2 linked regions of the Oreochromis niloticus genome follow. The protein of the gene in region 1 purifies or fractionates together with the protein of each later gene. This does not show direct contact. Links are inferred from orthologs where the notes say so. Each region holds a gene or a part of one and is shown in the gene's direction. Other genes may lie near its edges.

What was found. Proteins that work in one complex are often made in the same cells at the same time.
Region 2: the proteins of rpl13a (region 1) and rpl7l1 purify together in Homo sapiens (affinity purification with mass spectrometry; 3 studies listed by BioGRID and IntAct, with this or other methods). This does not show direct contact. The link is inferred for Oreochromis niloticus from reciprocal best matches to the Homo sapiens genes RPL13A and RPL7L1.

Annotation. Positions count from the first base shown.
Region 1 is NC_031983.2:13,761,896-13,772,101, forward strand, and holds rpl13a (large ribosomal subunit protein uL13), read left to right. Parts: upstream 1-5,964; 5' UTR 5,965-6,067; coding exon 6,068-6,088; intron 6,089-6,810; coding exon 6,811-6,883; intron 6,884-7,729; exon of another isoform or gene 7,730-7,812; intron 7,813-7,891; coding exon 7,892-7,957; intron 7,958-7,999; exon of another isoform or gene 8,000-8,075; intron 8,076-8,153; coding exon 8,154-8,255; intron 8,256-8,467; coding exon 8,468-8,553; intron 8,554-8,745; coding exon 8,746-8,805; intron 8,806-8,997; coding exon 8,998-9,207; 3' UTR 9,208-9,255; downstream 9,256-10,206. Other genes in the region: zmpste24 (CAAX prenyl protease 1 homolog), read left to right, coding at 228-332, 445-588, 675-899; atp5if1b (ATPase inhibitor B, mitochondrial), read left to right, coding at 3,294-3,437, 4,093-4,205, 4,304-4,445. UniProt on the Homo sapiens protein: Associated with ribosomes but is not required for canonical ribosome function and has extra-ribosomal functions.
Region 2 is NC_031980.2:27,060,510-27,071,051, reverse strand, and holds rpl7l1 (60S ribosomal protein L7-like 1), read left to right. Parts: upstream 1-6,047; 5' UTR 6,048-6,376; coding exon 6,377-6,471; intron 6,472-7,192; coding exon 7,193-7,301; intron 7,302-7,419; coding exon 7,420-7,580; intron 7,581-7,657; coding exon 7,658-7,795; intron 7,796-7,885; coding exon 7,886-7,995; intron 7,996-9,811; coding exon 9,812-10,020; 3' UTR 10,021-10,454; downstream 10,455-10,542.

The DNA of each region.
Region 1 (10,206 bases):
AAAAACACTTTTAAAAAACTTGTCTTGAAACACACTTTGGTTGATTTTTGCTTGATAACAACTGGTCTGAGAGCTTGAAAGATATTTTTTTTGGTCATCAAGCTCTGTTTTGTTTTTAAAATCCTTTAATAAAGGATTGGGAAAAGCCCCAAGTATTAAATGTATTAATGTTTAGGCTTGATGTTGTTGGAAATTTTAGGTAACTGATTTTGAAACTTCTGTCACAGAACAAAAAACAAGGATGCAACAACCCAGAGATCCTTGCTGTTTTGGGTCATGAGCTTGGCCACTGGAAACTTGGCCACACCGTCAAGAATATCGTCATTAGTCAGGTGATTTCTCCCAGATGGATGTCTTTTGTTTTATCCCAAAACATATAAAAGCCTGATTAGATCATACTACAGACATTCAGAAATTGAACTGAATCTATTTTTATCTCTTCAGATGAATTCCTTCCTGTGCTTCTCCTTATTTGCTGTCCTGATTGGACGTAAGGAGCTGTTTGTAGCTTTTGGCTTCGATGACAGCCAGCCCACATTAATAGGCTTGATGATTATCTTCCAGTTCATCTTTTCTCCTTACAACGAGGTATGTGTGAGATCATGAAAGCTTGAATAATTAAATCCTGTTGTTTTGAGATGTTTAAATATTTCTCTTCTTCCTCGCTTTTGTAGGTTCTGTCTTTCTGTCTGACGGTCCTGAGTCGCAGGTTTGAGTTCCAGGCAGATGCTTTTGCTCGCGCCATGGGCAAAGCCTCAGAGCTTTACTCAGCTCTCATCAAGCTGAACAAAGACAACCTGGGCTTCCCTGTGGCTGATTGGTTGTTTTCCATGTGGCACTATTCCCACCCTCCTCTCCTTGAGCGCCTCAGAGCACTGGGCAACACCAAGCAAGACTGACGGGGCCGGAAGGGGAGCGGCGACCGCTGCCTCCTCCGAAGGGCCTCCGCAGACCGCTCCTGGCCCTGTGATGCACCCTGGTCTTTTTCCTTCCCTTCTGACCCCATAAGCAAATTTTATCTTATTTTATCCTTTTCTTCACTTGCCATACTTTCTTTTTTTTTCTCTTCTTTGAAAGTTAGTTTTAAACAAAACCAAAACATATCAGCACAAGGCAAACATAAAAAAATCTAAGCCTGTACTGTTCTTTTTCTTTTATTCAGAAAAACCATTTACACACTTGCTGTGTGAGATAGATCTGGACAACGTGTAAAGAAAAAGGCAATTGTCAGAGCACATATCAGATTTCTCAGATTGTACTCATAGATTTGTTTTTAGAAATCCTTTTATTTTTGTACAATTCATTCAGTACTTTGTTCTTTTTCCCTTCTAAGTATGAAGCTCAAAATGAAATTGACAAGTTATTTGGCTGTTAAATGTTAATTTTTTTTAAAATATTAATTTAAGATGATTAGTCATACATTATATTCAGTCGTTACAATGCTTTTTACAGATGCACGGGCCAGATTGATATGTACAGCAAGTGCAACATTTATTGTCAAGTTCAAGTGAATATTCATGAATCTATTCATCAATTCAGTGCTTTTTTTTTTTTTTTTTTTTTTAATTTAAAGAGAAACTCTGTAGATTCTTTGTCACAGTGACAAAATACGAGTGCCTCTAATTCTCCTCTTTGTACCCATAATGAACACCTAGTGAACAGAGCGGTGCGAAATGTTTCTTTTGAAGATTACAGTAGATGCGATATTTTTGTTTTTTTTACATGCAATGAGGGGCTGCTGTTTTAATTTTCTTAAGCACCTGCTTGTCATGAAGGGTCCAACCATACCTGTACATATGTAACTTTGGTGATTAGAGTAATGATATATGAAGTGAATTGTTGAAAAAAAAATGTTGAATGTGATTTGAATTTTTAAGTTGATGTAGAGTTTCATAGTTTTTGTTTTGTTTTTCTCTTTGTTTCATGCCAGCGATACCTGGTAAGCAAAGTATTTATAGGGGACTTCTGGGAGGGAGATGGCAAGATTTCACCACGTGAGCCAGAGTTTGGTTTGCTCAGAGAGGGGGTGTATGCTTTCTTTGCAGTGTTGAATAAAATCCTCTAAGCATTTATCTTATTTGGGGTGCTTGTTTTACTTTTTAAAAATATTGTGAACATCACACAAAAGATAAGTTTATTTTCATCCTGCAATGACTTTTTAAATATATTTTTAATGTTATATTTTAAATAAACACACACAAAATGTTCACTGGCCACTTAATTAGGCACACCTTCCTAGTACCTGGTTGGACCAGTTTATGCCTTCAGAACTGCCTTAATTCATATAGATGGATTCTCTATATGAATTGAGGCATTTTACACCATATCTGTAATGCATAGATTCAACAAAATGCTGGAAACATTCCAGAGAGTTTGACTTCATAGTTACATAATGGCTTCACACAGTTGCTGGACATCTATGAAGCAAATCTCTTGTTCCACCACATCCCAAAGGTGCTTTATTGGATTGAAACCTGGAGACTGTGGAGGTCATGTGAGCCTGTGGGAATTGTAGCTTCAGTTTCTTTAGCTAACAGGAGTGGCACCTGGTGTGGTTTTCTGCTGTTGTAGCACTTCTGGTTCACGGTTTGACATGTACATTCATGATATTTGATTTGCCTTCCTACAATCTCTGTAAACTCTAGAGATGGTTGTGTGGGAAACTCCCAGTGGATCAGCAGGTTTTTGAAGTACTTACAAAAACCATGCTATGATCAAAGTTAATTAAATACCCTTTCTTCCCCATCCTGATGCTCAGCTTAAAAATAAATCGATGTTTTATAAACTTATCTTTTTAGATAAAATCTCATATTTAAATTAAAAAAATTACTGTGTACTAAAATATATATAAAAAAAATTGCAATCCATAAGTTATTTAAGCTATGTAAAAAAGTAGAAATAACCATTGTTATTGTTGATTTTGTTTTTGTTTAAAAAACACTTTAAACCACTTTTGTTCAGTGGATATGGATGTATATAGTATTTAAATTAATTAAAAAATACATTAAAAAATCACACATCATGTTGCGTTATTGGTATGTAGCATAACAAAAATTATAAGGTCAGATGCTACGTAAAGAACGTATAACACCGCGGTATCCATTTTTAAGACCATACCACTGCGGGAATCAAATACTGTGTTTTTCCTGCATTACGTTATTGTTCCATGTTATGTATACGAAATATATTTAGCAGAAAAATTTAAATAATCCATCATCGTATGAATAGATTTTTTAAATGTATCATCTAATTGAACTAACGTATCTCCTGTTGGCACCCCCGCCTTGGACATAATGGCGCCGTCCTGTGGTGTATTTTTGTGGACAAGGACAAGCTCGACACTACTTGTCAGTGGTGTTTTCACAAACATGGCGAGGTTTTTGAGGCCTAATATCAGGACTTTTGTCACCTCACAGCTGAGAATGTCATCCGACCAGGTAATAAACGTCCTGCAACCGCCTCACTTCATTACAAACACCGTGTAACCGTTATACAGCGCTTTGACTTGTTTAGCCTCATCATTTTTGCTAGCTGAAAACCTTAATGACAGGATCACCTGCTGTAGCACTGTGGTATTAGCTTTCTAATTGAACATTATTACCTAATGATTATAGGTTATATATGCCAAGGGGGTTCATTTTGTATGTACTGCCACCTGTCAGACTATTCAGAAAAATAATTTGGTTTTGTGAGCTGCTTTGTTCTCTCAGACGTTTAGGTTTTGCTCAAAAAGGATTTCTGGTCTGTTCTAGATATCTCCATTATCACCTTGGAAACAAAGAAGCCTTTAAACCCACTCAAAAAATATAAAACCTTGACCTTCAACATGGTCTTGTTTTCACAGCGTCCAGCAGATTCACCTTAATATCACACTGAAAGCCCTGATCACTAAAGTTGAGAAAGAAAGTAACTTTAAAAAATGTTAAATTTCGAGCTGCCATCTGTTAAAGAAATGTCTTTATAGAAAGTACTCAGAGCTCTATTTTTTGTTTATGCATTTATTATTGGGTTTGGGGGTTTGTTTGTTTTTTGCTTGTTGCTGAGTTAATTCACTAAACTTGTTTTCTCTTAAATACTTCCCCACCCACTCAGCTGGGTGAGCTGGGTAAAGGTGCCGGGAAAGGTGGTGGTGGTGGAGGCTCTATCAGAGAGGCAGGTGGAGCCATGGGGAAGAAGCAGGCTGCAGAGGAGGAGATGTACTTCAAGTATGGAATTCAACTTATAAAGACAGTTTTTTGTCCACTTTTTCCACCTCTTCTACATGTAAATAAGCCTGTGTGATATCTGTCTTTCTTCATATAAGGCGCAAGGAGAAGGAGCAGCTGGCAGCACTAAAGCAGCACCATGAGGACGAAATTGATCACCACAAAAAGGAGATTGAACGTCTCCAGCGCGAAATTGACCGCCACAAGGGAAAGATCAGAAAGCTGAAGCATGACGACTGAGTGAAGCCTTTAAAATAAAACAAAAGTTTTGTTTTTTTTCTCCCCACTGTCCAAGACTCCTTTAGTAACCACACTAGTTTCTGCGTGCACTGTGTTATGCCAGTCATGAATGTTTGAGTGATGGTACTTATGTAAATTGTTGAAAGGTATTAAAATTGATTAAAAAAAATGAGTACGGGTTCCATGGCATGCTCTGCAAGAACATTTTCCTCTGTGATGCTGTTCATTGGTGTGCCGTATGTCACAGGCAGAATGCCAAAGTAAAAAATACTAAATATAATCTGTGCTTCATGCTGCTGTTTTATTTCAGTGAACAGTTGATATCTTTTGTGAACTTGTGAGCAACATTGTTTTCAATGAGCAACAATAGGCAGCAAATCAAGTGATAAAATTGACTAAGCTGCAACCAGCACACCTTTAATGTAAAATAAAAAATGGTAAAAAAGGTAATTAAAGTTATCTGGCAGCACAAATATGTGACCTGTTCAATATGTGTTTCAAACTGCTCCTTAAAGCCATCTTGATCTAAAGTAAGGTCATATAAATTTCATACTATTAAGATCTAAAAAAGTATTTAACACCTGCTATGATTTCTTATTTGTTTGTTTGCTTTTTGCATATTTGTAAGATCATAAAACAAATTTTAATATTAGACAAAGATAACAGGAGTAAATGCAGGTTTTACCCCTCATCTGAAAAAGGCAGATGGGGTATTTTCACCCCACCAGGTGGGTGGGTGGGTGGTCGGGGTTTGTGGATGTCTAAGTTTGAGAATGCAAGAATTAGATAATGTGGGAGCTTTTAATTGATACCATAAATGTCTGTGACCTACACCTCAGAGTCAAGTTCATAGGTCATGTTTTCCGAAGATCCTGTGAATGTGATAACTCAAGAAGGAAATTACCTAGGATATTCTAATTGATATCATAGGTAGATCTACTGAAATTCTCGGTTAAATATTCTGCAAATCTTGTGATTGCTTTAACTTGAGAATAGGCAGCGTAGGATTTTGAAATTGAAGCTCTGGTGGTCACCAGTATTTTTCAAATGAGGATTTCATTTATTAAGGAAAAAAGGTTCACCTAAAAATTGATTGTGCCACCTCTGGCAGCAAGAACTCAAAACAAGTGGTTGCAAGGAATTAGTTTTTCCACAGTGGAAGAATTTAGTCTCATTCTTTTTTACAGAATTGTTTTAATTCAGCCACATTGAAGAGTTTTCAAGCTTGACTTTAACTAGGCCACTACAAAACCTTTTCTTATTTTTTTTTGTCCCTCCCCCTTTAGAAGTGCACACTGGTGCATTTTGGATCATTGCCCTGTTGCCTAACCTAAGTGTGCTTGAGCTTCAGGGCACAAACTGATGGGGGAACATTTTCATTCAGCATTTTTTGGTAGAGAGAAGAATTACAACAAGTTGTCCAGGTCCTGAAGCAGCAAAGCAAAACTGCTAACCCTATAATACATAATAGTATACATAATTTATAATGCTGAACTTAATAAGTCCAACGGTGGCGCTATTTCTTTCATAGCCTGTGAGCCACGAGAAAGAAGCTGTCGTCACTTCCGCCCACCCCTGCCTTTTACCACGAGCAACCCCGTTTGTCTTTCTTTTCGCACATCATGGCGGACCGGTTCAATAAGGTGGGAAGCTGCTCTGGAGATATTATATCATTTTTCTGCTCTATAGGCAAAATAAAACCTTATGTTTTGCAGTTAAGCGAATAGCGATAACTTGGGACAGCTTTGTGTAGTCGTTGTTTTGCTCAGTGTTTTTTTTCTGAGACATATTTTTAGGGAATGTCTGAGGCAGCTCGCTATAGCCGAGTGAGCGTGCCTTCATCATGGCAGCTTCCCTGAGTCAACGCTGTTAGCTTGCGAAGCTAGGTTTAACGTGTGTACTGGATGTATGGTAGTATGGGAAACGTACCGGCAAACTTAAATAAATAAAATGGGTGATTTTTCGTTGCTTCTATGTAGGGAACCTTTCATGACACTTCAGCTAAAAAAAACCCAAGATTAATCGTCAGCGCGTTTTGGGTTAGATGCTAAGCTAACGTTATGGCTCAACCGGCAAGTCAATAGTGTCCCATGTGCCATTTATCACAGTGACGTGGAGGCAGAAATACAGTTAAGTTCGCAGTAAACCCCTTCAATAAACAGTGATGGGGTTAAATGTGTGTTTATTACCGTTTAACTTTTATGTTAGTGCAAGGCAAGGTAAAGCTGACAATGTGACGATTGTCAGGTTAGATGTTAAAAGCAAGTTGATTAACATTACCATACAAGATTATAGTGAATTACTGGGATGTTTTTTCATGGTGAAGATAAAGCATTGATATCCTTTTTTCCCCCCTTTATTTTAGGTTCTGCTGCTTGATGGCAGGGGCCATCTGCTCGGCCGACTTGCTGCCATTGTGGCTAAACAGGTTCTTCTGGGTAAGTTTTAAGAGAATAATGAGAGTTTTTGGTAATAAACAATATAACTTGAGTTTGGTACACACTGTGCGATTTTTGGACTGTCCTAGTCAAGATGTTCGAATTTAGCTGTTGTATCACGCTACATGCATGGACTCCTTGGAGCAACATCCTGACAGTGTCAGAAATTTTGTAGCAGTATCTCATAATGGGACTGCTGCTGTACCTGCTAACCATTCAGTAGGAATGCAGTGCAAACTAACCTGAAATAGCTGAGCCATTGTGGGGTCCCATTGGAGGTAAAATGTGCAAAATAAGGTGATTTGGATTGCAACACATAGTCTAGTCCCTTTTATACACCTGAACTGTGGACAGTGTCAGTAGTATTGTTTCTGGAAATACTCATGACATGATGTCCACTTGCTCTGGGAATTCTCTAGTTACTGGCTCTCTTGTTACATGGCATCAGTTGGGGATTATACGGTTATTTGAGCACTAGAAGGATGAGTATTTGATTTCCAGTCCAACAAATTTTATATTTGTGTCCTCATGTTTAGTTCAGCTGGGTAATGTCTAAAAAAACAAAAAACCGCTTGCAGTTTGTGAAAAATGACTGTTTGTGCAAAAGGCCTGCAGAGAGCATTGCATGCTCTTTCTACACATGCGTAGGGTGTAAATTGTAATGCAAATTCTCCAGATGCAGTCACACAAAACATGCAGAGACACAGATGGCTACAAAGACCGACCTATCCTACGATGAAACTCTACCGTTAACTTCCAGACTTGTCAGATCCATGTCGCACAGTGTGTTTTGCAGCATGTAAGACTGATGAACAGTGTGTTCAAAGTTGGCAAATGTTGTGTCATTCTGTCGATGATGACTGTATTAACTGCCTTGGTTGAGTTTAACGACAATGAGAAAACTCACATGCACTACCATCTGAGACAGGAAACAAACAAACAGTATCTGCACCTGTTTGCTGTTCTCTTTAACTTTTGGGATTTAACTGTTGGCATTTTGTCTTTTAGGCCACAAAGTGGTGGTGGTGAGATGTGAAGGCATCAACATCTCTGGCAACTTCTACCGTAACAAGCGTAAGTAGGGTTATGTCCTATTTTCATTCCTTTAAAATGCTTGTTGTCGGTGATGTTTTACTAGTTTGAGTTTCACAGACCATGAGAAAACCTTACATGCACTACCATCTGAGGCATCAGCATTACTTAATAAAGTAATGCTAGCCCCTTGCATGTATCTTGATGTATGTGTAATGTGGCATGTGCCTGTCTGCAGTGAAGTACCTGGCTTTCCTGCGCAAGAGGATGAACACCAACCCCTCTCGTGGTCCGTACCACTTCAGGGCTCCCAGCAAGATCTTCTGGAGGACCGTTAGAGGTGAGAAAGTGACACCACCAGCACATGAAGTGGTCTATTTGCATTCATCTATGATACTTACTTAGCACAGTAAAGCTGTTTATAGCAAAGCTAATAATCTATTGATGAAGCAGACTTCAGACATCTGACTTTTTTTTTTTCAGTTTAGCATATGTTGAAATGGCTACTGAGTTTTATGTTTTTTTTTAAAAGGATAATCTCTCTTTAAACAGGTATGCTGCCTCACAAAACCAAGAGAGGTCAGGCTGCTCTGGAGAGGCTGAAGGTGTTTGATGGTATCCCCCCACCCTATGACAAGGTATGCTGATAATTTCTTAATCTTTATGGCCCCCACAAGTGGCTTTGACTGTGCTGTCTGTGATGCCATGCATCTTAACTGCCTTGTCTGAATAGTAACCATGAAAAGAAATGATGTCTGAGACATGCTGCCTATAACAGTTCAGATGTGCTGTTGTCTTCGTTATCTGATTTTGCTTTATTTGATTTGCAGAGGAAGCGCATGGTTGTCCCAGCTGCTCTTAAAGTTGTGCGTCTGAAGCCCTCTCGCAAGGTGAGCCTACAATGTTTGTTTTTTTTTTTTTTTTTTTGTTAAGGACAGAAAATGAAGGGTGACAATAAGGTCATTTACTATTATTCAGCTGTAAATTTTGAATTGGGCAGGCACAACCATTTAGTTTGTGTAACATTGTTCTCTTCAGTTTGTGAACTGTTGATTTTATATGGTTTTTCATTTCTCCCTCAGTTCGCCCTCCTTGGGCGTCTGGCACATGAGGTTGGCTGGAAGTACCAGGCTATCACAGCCACTCTGGAGGAGAAGAGAAAGGAGAAGTCTAAGCTCCGCTACACCAAGAAAAAGACACTGATCAATCTGACCAAGAAGGCAGAAAAGAACGTCGAGTCCAAGATTGCAAAATACACAGATGTTCTGAAACAATATGGAGTTATTGTCTGAGCTAAACTCATCTGGCCAATAAAGATGAATAAATGTTTATAAAATGTGTCATGACTATTTTATTTCTCATTAAAATAAACTGCATTTACTACAACATGAATATATGTTTAAGAGTTGCATTTGTAGCTATCACAAGAAGGTAGCATTTGTGTATTCATGGTTATATTGACTTGGTATTTGAAAAGTATCACTCAGACTTTCAAAAGGTGCCAGGAAAAGCACATTGGAGTTGCGTATTTTCCTTACATGGTTTCGCGTAATGTGTAAAATCAAAATGTATGACAGGGTTAGAAAACATAACTGGATATTTGGAGTTAGTATTACACTCTTATTTTATTTTCACAAAATGCCATCTGACTCATCAGTTTTTGAATTGTATAACAATTTGCTGCAGCTGTAGAGTTTGATAAAACTGACAAAAATAAGGCTATGTCCACACGTACCCGGGTATTTTTGAAAACGGAGATTTTCCGTTTTCGTTTTAAAAAATAATCCCGTCCACACGTAAAGGCAGAAATGAAGGAAAACGCTGCTAGGAACATGCCAAAGCAGCAGGTGGCGCTATATTCCTAACCGTGTAGAAATGTTGGCCAATCAGAAGTCTAGAAGCCTCGGTGGGAAAAAGTAAACAAAGATGGGGCATAGAAGCAGAACCGAGTCGTGTATATGAAGGGACAGTAACTGTGTGTGTATATGTAAGCATTTAAACACTGCAGAGAGTACAATTAACAGTAACAGTATTGTAGAAATTCATTTCACCGAAACAACAACGTGGCGCACACTGTGACGTCAAAAAAGGCGCACACCTTTGACACTGCGTTTTCTCCGTTTTTCTCGTCCACACGTAAATGCAAAAACGGAGTTTTAGAAAATATCCACCCTGGCCGGAGTTTTTAGAAATCTCCGTTTTCAGTGACCGAAAACGCCGTTTACGTGTGGACGAAAGGTGCAAACGCATAGAAAAATCTGCGTTTTCAAAAATACCCGGGTACGTGTGGA
Region 2 (10,542 bases), on another chromosome or scaffold:
TCAGAGACTTCATCATTTCTTCACTACCAGACACACTGGACCCACTACAGTTCGCTTACCGTCCAAATCGTTCCACAGATGATGTCATCTCTCATCTCCTCCACACATCACTCACTCACTTGGACACTAGAAGGGGGAATTATGTTAAAATGCTCTTCATCGACTACAGCTCTGCATTTAATACCATAATTCCCTCCACACTCACCACCAAACTGGAGCACCTGGGACTCAGCTCATCTATGTGTCAGTGGATCTCCAACTTCCTAACTAGCAGACCACAGGCAGTAAGGATGGGCGGACATGTCTCAGCCTCCACCACTCTCAGCACTGGAGCCCCCCAGGGGTGTGTTCTGAGCCCCCTGCTGTACTCTTTGTACACATATGACTGTGTGGCCACTACCAGCTCCACCACCATCATCAAGTTTGCTGATGACACCGTCGTGGTGGGCCTGATCTCTGACAACAACGAGACGGCCTACTTGAAGGAGGTTAGGAATCTGGAGACCTGGTGCCAGAGGAACAACCTCCTTCTAAACATCAGAAAAACAAAGGAGTTGATAGTGGACTTCAGTACTAAGCAGAAGAGGAACTACCAGACCCCCGTCATCAACGAGTGCCCAGTGGAGAGAGTGGACAGCTTCAAACACCTCGGAGTTCACATCACGCAGGACCTGTCATGGTCCTGTCACATCAACACTGTAGTGAAAAAGGCCCGACAGCGTCTCTACCACCTCAGACGCTTGAGAGACTTCCGACTGCCCTCCAGGGTGCTCAGGAACTTTTACTCGTGCACCATAGAGAGCATCCTGACGGGAAACATCTTAACCTGGTTCGGGAACAGCACCATGCAGGACAGACGAGCTCTACAGAGGGTTGTGCGATCAGCTAAGCGCACCATCCGCTCCGAGCTCCCTGACCTGCACTCAATCTACAGCAGGCGGTGCTGTACCAAGGCCAGGAAGATCATGAAGGACCTCAGCCATCCCAACAACGGACTGTTCTCTCTGTTGAGGTCAGGAAAGCGATTCCGCTCCCTGAAGACCAACACAGAGAGACTGAGGAGGAGCTTCTTCCCGCAGGCGATACGGTCTCTCAATCACACCACCACATAGAACGGACCCACACATATGGTTCTTACACACACACTGGACAGTCTGGACTTTGTTTACACTTAATCACTTTAAGCATATTTGCACTGCACAAGACACCTACAATGTGGTTTGCACAACACTGGACATTATATTTCTTCATTTCCATTTAATACTTGTACAGCTGCTGTTATTGTATATATATTTATATTTCTTCATACATTCTTATATATTTGTATATTGTGTATTGTGTATTTTGTTGTACAGTTACTTTATTTTCAACTTTAATTCATATATATTTTATCTTATTCTTCCCAGTTAAATTTACTCTTCATTCTAATTTGTGTTGTACAGTTATTTTATTTTCAACTAATTCATATATATTTTATTTTATTCCTTCCTAGTTAAATTTACCCTTTTTAATTTTCATATTTATTTCCTATCTTATTCATAGCCTTTTCTTTTCTTTTTTTCTTAAGGTCACGAGCAGTTGTGTAAGCATTTCACTGCATATCGTATTGTGTATGACTGTGTATGTGACAAATAAAATTTGAATTTGAATTTGAATTTGAACAGTATGATATGGCCCAGCCCTAGTGAACACAGTACAACTCCAGCATGGATACTGACTTACACAACACCTCGTGGAAAAAGTAGTTGTTGCTAATATTGCTATTATTTTTCCATTAAATAATATGTGTCAAATAATGCCAAAATCCCAATTCCAGTTTACAGAGCCATGGCTCAGGCAACAGAGTGGGTCATCTACCAATCAGAAGGTCTGTGATTCACTTCCCTGCTCCTCCAGTCTGCATATAGAAGTATCTCTGGGTAAGGCACTAAACCCCCGAGTTGCTCCTGTGTGTGTGAATGTAAGACATGGTGTTAAGGTATAGAAAAAAGTAGTATGCATGTGAGACTGGGTGACTAAGGTTTGCAGTAAAAAAAAATTTAAGTACTGCACTCTGCTGGAGCCACTTGCCTATATATGTATATATTGATTTGGAAAAACTTTCTTCTGCTTAGATTTATTATTTTGTAATCATTCTATGTAGTTTTTTTTTTTGTTGTTGGTTGTTTTTTTGGGGGGGGGTATATTTTTCATTCTTTCAAATACCAGAAGTTAGACTTTATATCTTTGTCTGATTATCTCATTTTTAAACATTAAATCAGATGTTATGCTCTGTTACTCAGTACTCAAGTAGCCGTTTTACTAAATACTTTTTTTACTCTTACTAGAGTAATTTCTTAGACGGCTACTTTTTACTTTTGCTTGAGTAAAACTATGTTTAAGTAGTGCTACTATTACTTGAGTACAATTTTTGGCTACTCTACCCACCTCTGACTGGCTCAGAGAACCACTCTTACCTGTGACCATCAAACTTTTCATCACCTCCCTATGACTCCTCCTAAGAATTGGTCTGTAGAGTGGTGCACAGGCATCTCAAGTTATCTCAAGGCATCTGTGATGGCAGTGTAAGACAGGTGGAAGCTGTCCGAGTTATGGGCAATCTGTTAAAACAGGATGGCCAGAGCGAGAGAGTGGACCCAAAATGCAGATTCAGCCAGAGGCACAGTCTTTCTCAATAGTGAAACTTTATTTACAGGCTGTGAAAACGTGACACTTGAAATATCGAGCATGAACTGTGAACTATGGTGTGATGGTGTGAATAGACATGACCAGCATCCAGAAAAACGTGACTATACTGCGAAGGTGAGTAGATGATCCAGAGAATAGTAGAGACATAAGAGATAACAAAGTTAGTGAAGAAGAAGTACAATGAATTCTCATGAAACATAATTGGGCAAGCACTATCAGAGGTTACCAGACATTCTGGCAAAGATTTGTTAAGAGCGCTGGTCTTAAAGGCTGATGAGGCTCCACCTAGAGGTGGAAACCCAGAGCTAATAGAAAAACAGCCACTCACCCGCACCATAACACAATCCTTCATACCCTCTCCATGACACGCTGGATAGTCGGAACACATTCAGCCTCAAACTCTCCCTGTGACACTTGGACTATTTTCACTATTTTCACTTTCACATATTTTGTTTATATTGTATACAGCATAACTTTGGAGTACATATTCAAAACATGTTGTGTCTTCAATGGAGTACCTTATTTTTATTTTTCTATATTTCATATTTATAATTTAATTCAGTGTATGTAGCAAAGCAAATTCTGATGCTGATCTGAATCAAAAGCATTGTAGAGTGGGCAGAACTTTGTAAATTTAATGTAGAATTTTTTCAAAGTAAGTAAGTGTCTTTTGTTGAAGAAAATAAATAAATAAATAAAGAGGAACGACCTCCGTGATCGGGTTATAGCTGCATTCAACTTTCTGAGTAGTGCCAGAGAGAAGGTGTTGTTGGACTTGGACAGAGGAGAATAAAGAAAGGAAGGCAGAACGCCAAGCAGGATTACTGAACTGAAATTATTATTCACAATTGCAAATAAATTACAAAATAAATAATTACATTTTACTTCTTTTTACCACCTAGTCAAACTAGTCCCCAGAGAATATTAATAATGTTACTGACTCATTCTGGTACTACAGAGAATCAAAACAAGCAGACATCTGTGCAGTTTCCTTCCATAGGCCTTCACTGTGATGAACATTTAGATCATTCTACTAACATATCCAGTATACCTGCTACTAAACTAAGGCATGCTGCATATCCAGAAGAGGACGGTCCTAGGAACAGCAAAGATACTGCACAGAACCCTCAGCTTGAAGGATAGACTGCCTGCAGGGGCGAGAGGGGACTTTTTATATATAAGCAGCAGAACCCTGAGAAAGAAGAGGAACAAGAATCATCGTGGAAGGACAGGTCACTGCACAGCTTTTACCGGCAGATAGAAGATGTGGCTGTTAAATAAATTAAATGGTCATTAAAAATGTGTTTAGAATGTATATAAAAATATAGCCCAGTTCCTTTTATGTATACTCATACTTACCCAATAAAGCTGATACTGATGTGTGCAGAATATCTCTGTTGTTGCTGTACTTTATAAAAAAAAAAACTAAGCAGTATTCAGGTCACTTTAAGCAATGCTTAAGATGGCTCACTAGATGGAGCAATACGCTCAGACCTGAAACTGCACATATTCAAAAAGTAGTTCAGTTCAGTTATTTCAGTCAATTATCAGGGAGAAATTAAACTGAAGGAAATCACAGTGCTGACACAGTCACATGAGTTTTGAACACAAAAAAGTATGTCTTAATGTGTGAGCCAAGGTTATTATAGTTGAATTAAACTAAATAAAAACATTTAGTTTTTATTTTCATTTTAGTTCATTCAAACTTAAAAAACTACACTTTTGAAATAAATAAAACCTATATAAAAAGGTTTGGTGAACTAATTGATCCACAGTTAATACAGAACAGAATAAAGTAACCTCTATCATCTTCTTGATGGCACTTTGAGACACAGTAAGTCTCTCTGCTACCATAGTTACTCTATCTGTACAGGGACTGTCCAGCACATAACAGCAGGGTACAAGATGCTAACATGAACGGCATACATGGAAGACCATATACAAGTGGCTGGCAAAGTGTATAAAATACAGGAACATCTATGTTAAGTATGGGCTAAAGTCCCATGGACAAAATGGGATATACCCCACAGGGTGGTTGACAATGACCGGGCTAAGATCCTGCAGACCTCCTGATACAGAATAAATAAATATTTTACTACTGTAGACCCATCACCCCCAGGAGGCATAGTAGGAGTCTGTTGCAATCTGTGCCAGGTAGCAACCAAGGGCAGTGGCTCTGCCAGACAGATCCCCAGCTACCCAGAATGGTACTTGGGATATGGAACGTCGCCTCTCTGAATGGGAAGGAGCCTGAGCTAGTATGTGAGGTTGAGCTATACTGACTATAGTCGAGCTCAACTCAGCGCATGACTTGGGCTCTGGAACCAGTCCCCCGGAGAGGGGCTGGACTCTGTTCCAGTCTGAAGTTGGCCTTGCTGAGAGGTGGTGGGCTGGGGTGGGTATCCTTGTATCCCCTTGGCCTGATGCCTATATTTTGGAGTTTTCGCCATTTCACAATAGGGTCGTTTCCCTGTGCCTTCAGGCCAGGGAACAGATCCTGACTGCCTTTTGTACTTATGCCATATTTTTAAAAAAGTGATTTCATGGACTTTGCTACAGTGAAAGAATTAGGAAAATAATTTGTGTCATCTTTTCATTTAATTTTATGACTTGAAGTGTTCATCCTTCTTAGAGTGTTTGTGCAACCTTTCCACAGTATAGCAGCTTTATAGGGTTTAGAGCCCGAAAATGTGACATGTAGTGCTAAAATGCATCTTAAAGCACGTGTTTTGGATGCCTACACCACAGCTCTGTCTTGTCCTAGGTCTGAAGCAGTTTTTCTGAACAGTTTAAAATATTTTCTGAAAACTGATTATTTCCAAGGCATTTGGAAAGATGTACTGTATGTCTCTTTAAAGGCGATATAAGGAGAATACCATCTTTTTAGGGCGTCTTTGAATTCAACCTATGTAGGTTAATCATTCTCATTTCCACATGATATCCTTTTGTTCCTAACACATTACCCGGTCCATATCAGTATAGATATCCTTTTTTGAGCAGTGTATAAAACACTGAAACCAAAATGGCCATGGTGTGTGGGAACAGGGAGGCATGGCTGAATAACAGTGTATGCTTTATTCACATTCACTAAATAACTCAAACGATTAATATATGAAAATCCAAAATAAGTTTATTTTAGACTTTCATGCAAGGAAGGCAAACCTTAAGTGGTCCTGATAAAAATATTTGTGTAACCCTAGGTCATGCTTGGTGTTAAAACAAATCTTTTACTGTCAGATTTGCATAGATGCAAAGTGAGACAAATGTCTGTGTGGGTTCTCAGCCATCCAGGTGATGGCAGCATTGAGACAGAGCTTGACGAAGGAAACAGGCTTAAAAGGTTCTAAAAACAAAAGGTGGAGAGTCCCGGGAATTTAAACCCTAGTGGGGATTGTCCCATTTGGAGGCGGTTGCATTCGTTCTTGCAACCAATCTGCAGCGGCACAACACGCCAGGTTACAAAAATTAAACCTGGAAAAAGAGTAAGAGATGGGCGGATCGATCCGAACGTCGATAGCATCGATACTAGCATGATGGAATGGACGCTTTAGCTTAGTATTTTGAGGCATGTCTGTGCAGACGGCCGTGGCATCGTCATCACCCCCAATGTACCGCGGCATCTTGTGGCATCACCTTAAAAATGTCAGATCTACACATGATGGCATCACCCCCAAACATGGACCGCTGAATGGAAAGGCTCGACCCGAAACGCTGGGGCAGGTCGAGGTACTGTCTGCTGACGTCATTTGTCCGCGACGAAGAATCTACGATGGCCGAATCAGAGTATGTGTTTGATTTTATAATTGTATCTAAGTTCATCCGTTCGGTTTCCTATGTGTAGCTGTGCTGTTTATGCTTTTCCCGCTAAGTACGAGTCTTAAAGATTCGATTAAGGTGTCTATTTAGAAAGATGATGGGTGAAAAAGGCGTATCTGGAGGAGCTTACTTTCACATGGAGTGTATACCGTCGGTGAACCGAAGGTAGCTCCGAACTGAATAAGTATACCCACGGCCTCCCGACTTGGCGTGACCCCTAAAATTTCTGGGTCATGCTGTTTGAATTTGTGTCAGACAATCCTGTTCTCCCGGCCGTCCTATTACAAGGACGCAAGAAAATCCCTGGGACCTCAGGCTAACTAGGTCCTCATAAACAATTTTTTTTTTTTTTTTTTTTTTTGGAGAAGCAGTCTTAACACACCTATCATACCTGTGATACCCCAGTAAGAAGTAACCCACTGTGGTAACACTGAAAAACCTTAGTTTTAGGGTTGCAACTGAAGCTAGTCAACGCCTCCAGTTCTCCTCCACAGCACAATCTTGTGACTGAGCCGCATTTATTTAAATGGTAAATGGTAAATGGCCTGTATTTGTATAGCGCTTTACTAGTCCCTAAAGACCCCAAAGCGCTTTACACATCCAGTCATCCACCCATTCACGCACACATTCACACACTGGTGATTTAGTTTGTCCAAAGCTTCTTTCTCTTACTTTTTGTTCTCTTCAGGACAAAAAAGGCAATCAAGTTGGTTCCAGAGTATCTTCTGAAAAAGAGGAAGGCATACCAGGCAATCAAAGCCACGCAAGCGAAACTCGCACTGCTCGAGAAGAGAAGGGTAAGTACTGATGCTTGTTACATATATACAATACAATATATACTAACTTTGTAGTTAAAGGCTGTATGGAATTTATGTACTGTTGTGCATTCATGTGTGTATTCCTGTAATGCTGCAGGTGACTAAAGGGAAAATCAAGTTCAAGCGTTTGGAAGATTTCTTAAAGGAAAGCCACACGCAGCATCGGGATGACACCCGCATCCAAAGGGTCAAACAGAGACCGGCTGAACCTCTACCACCAGCCAAGAACAAGCTTGCCTTCGCTGTCCGCATTAGACAGTGAGTACTGGAAAGCAGACACAGGCTTCCAGAACCGGCCGACAGTTTGTTTAACCCAACTGGTTCTCTCCTGTTAGGACTAAAGGCGTCAGTCCTAAAGTGATGAAAGTGATCCAGATGATGAGGCTGAGGAAGATCTTCAGCGGGACCTTTGTCAAAATTAACAAGACCTCCATCGCGATGATGAAGATGGTGGAGCCTTATGTGGCATGGGGGTGAGTGCGTGAGACACCGTGTACTTTGGAGGGTAATGCTGGCTTGAATTTGTGTTCAATCCTCTACATACTGGGCTGTGTGTTGGACAGATTTCCCAACCTGAAGTCGGTTCGTGAGCTCATTCTGAAGAGAGGTCAGACCAGGATAGGCAGGAGGAGAGTTCCCCTCACAGACAACACCTTCATCGAGGAGCACATGGGTGAGTCACTCACACTACAGCCTCCCTCCCCACTCACCTGCAGTCACAGTGCACTTCATTTCAGCTGTGCACCTTCTCTCTCTTTTCATCCCTTCCTCTTTCTCTTCCTCTCTTTCTCCCTCTGTCATACTCCATCGTTCTTTGAAGTGTTATGTAAAATAAAATGCATGGTTCTATTTTTACTTCTTAAATTATTTTTTCCCTTTTTTGAATGCCGACTAGTACTGTTAAAGTTGATGTAATAAATCTGCGACACGAAAGCTACAAAAAAGGTGGAGTTGGAGTCAAGAATATACCTGCTGCTCCATCTGTGGCCTTTCGTCAGACTCAGGGGAACACAAGCATTGTTTTTAGTAGCCATTTCCCTCAATGCCGGGTTTCAAAAATTGCAGTTTTAATTTTCGTGAATTAAAATCACTCTCAGGACTCATCGAGTGACGCCACTGACCAGCCAGTGGGTGCCTTGCAGTCTGACAACATCAAATTTTAGTACCTGCTCAGATGGCTTGGAACCCCGGGCGAGCAGGTGGCAAACCGTGCCGAGTTGATCCTATTAGGTACTAATGGCTATGATGTCCTCTAAAGGGCAGACAAACATAGTTGTGTGTATCAAGGTTTTGCAGACTCATGATCAGTAACAATGTAATGTTAGCTTTCTTGCTAGCACATGTGATAATTAGAAAGGTCCATGACCATCTGGTAACCACCAGATGAGTATATCCCAACCAGTTTTGAGTAGTTGCTGGAGGTTGATGGCAGTTGCCGGGGGGATGATGGCTAAAGCCCCAGTCACACATGCCTACAGATGGTCAGTGACTCCCTGGAAACCACCTCTGTCTCTATATAAAAATATGTACTTTTGGTCCAGTTGGGAAAAATCTCCTTGTGATCTTGTGATTGCTTTGGTTGCTAGCATATTGCTCTGATTGCAGTTTGAATAGAAGTGATGGACTTGTCTACAAACAGCGTCTAGCTGCTCTCCGAGCTGTAGTGAAACAGCTCTGGAAATGGAGAAGGTTCACCTTCAAAGTAATAGTTGCATCTTAGAAACATGTTTACTGTAACACTGAGACACAGCTGTTACTTTGAGGTGAACCATCTCTATTTCTGGTTTGCATTCCACTTTTTCAAATTTTACTACCGCCCTGCTTGGAATTGGGAAGTATTTGCCAACAAACATGAGATATTACTGGCAACCATGGCAATCTCCTAGCAACCGGAGCAATTAGTACAAGGTTCTTGGTGCAGCACCATGTTTGTAACTGATTTCACCCAGCGACAGTGGCTGTCTGTAGTACTGTCGTGCAAGGATGTGAGAAATACAATGTTTGTTTGTTTTGTTTTTTTAATGATACCTTCAAACAGCTGTATGTAATTGGATTTGCAATTAAAAAAGTGTGTAGCCACAACCTTTTATCACGATAATTGTTCACTCGTTTCGTTCCTGCCCATCTCAGTAGAAAGTTGCTTATTTTTCATTAGTTCCCCTTTCCTGAAGCCAGGCCCATTTTGCTCACAGCTCATTGTTTTTATTTGCAGATGTTGTTTTTATTGTGCTAACAATAAAACACACAACCTTTTTTTGCTTTTGACTCTAATGGTCATCAGACTTTGCAAAATATAGATGTTATGGATGAAATATTATAGCTAGCGGCTACGTCTCTCTTTTAGGTACAGTCTGTGATATGTGATTATAAATATACAAGCTGTTTTTTTTTGTTTGTTTGTTTTTTGTTCACGTTTGCTAAATATGAGTTCAGATTCTGCAGGAATCAGCTTTAATGAGCTTTCTCTGCTCCTTTTTCTCGGCCTACAGGTAAACAAGGAATCATCTGCTTGGAGGACCTGATTCATGAGATCTACTCTGTTGGGAAGAACTTTCGAGCTGCCAATAACTTCCTGTTGCCGTTCAGGCTGTCAGTGGCTCGTCACTCCATCAAAGACAAAGCTGGGCTCCTGAAGGACCTGGGAAACCCAGGGTACCGTGGCACAGATATCAATGTAATCATCAGACAGCTGAACTGAGGGGGAGCACGTGCAGGATGGACACTGGGCTGGACACCAGTTTCAGAGACACTGTACCTGTTGCGGAGCAGTTGTCACTTCTTTGGCAGAGAAGGTCTTATTACTCGTTCTGTGGAGTCTCTTGCCTTATCCTGTATGAATTATGTTAAAATATTAAAGTTAACACGTACATTAAGATTCCTCAGGTTTTCTGAGGAACAGTCAATACTTGCTACTTACGCAAGGTTATTAATGAAATGATCTAGGAGGGCTGTCCTCCATGCTGAAGCCAGCAGCCCACCTGCTATAAACTCTTATGGGGTCTGTAACCTCCAGTGTCAATAGGTTTAATGTGTGCAGCATGCTCACAAAACTGATTGCTGTTATTGAAGAGGGTGATGGATGGTATTATGTTATAATACTTTTTGTTTTACAATTAAAAAAACTAAACTAAATGACTGTTCTTGTGATGTTTGTTGAGGTGTTTAACACACCGTTATGACCGTTAAACAGACGCTTTCACCCCACAAGGAAAAAAAAGAC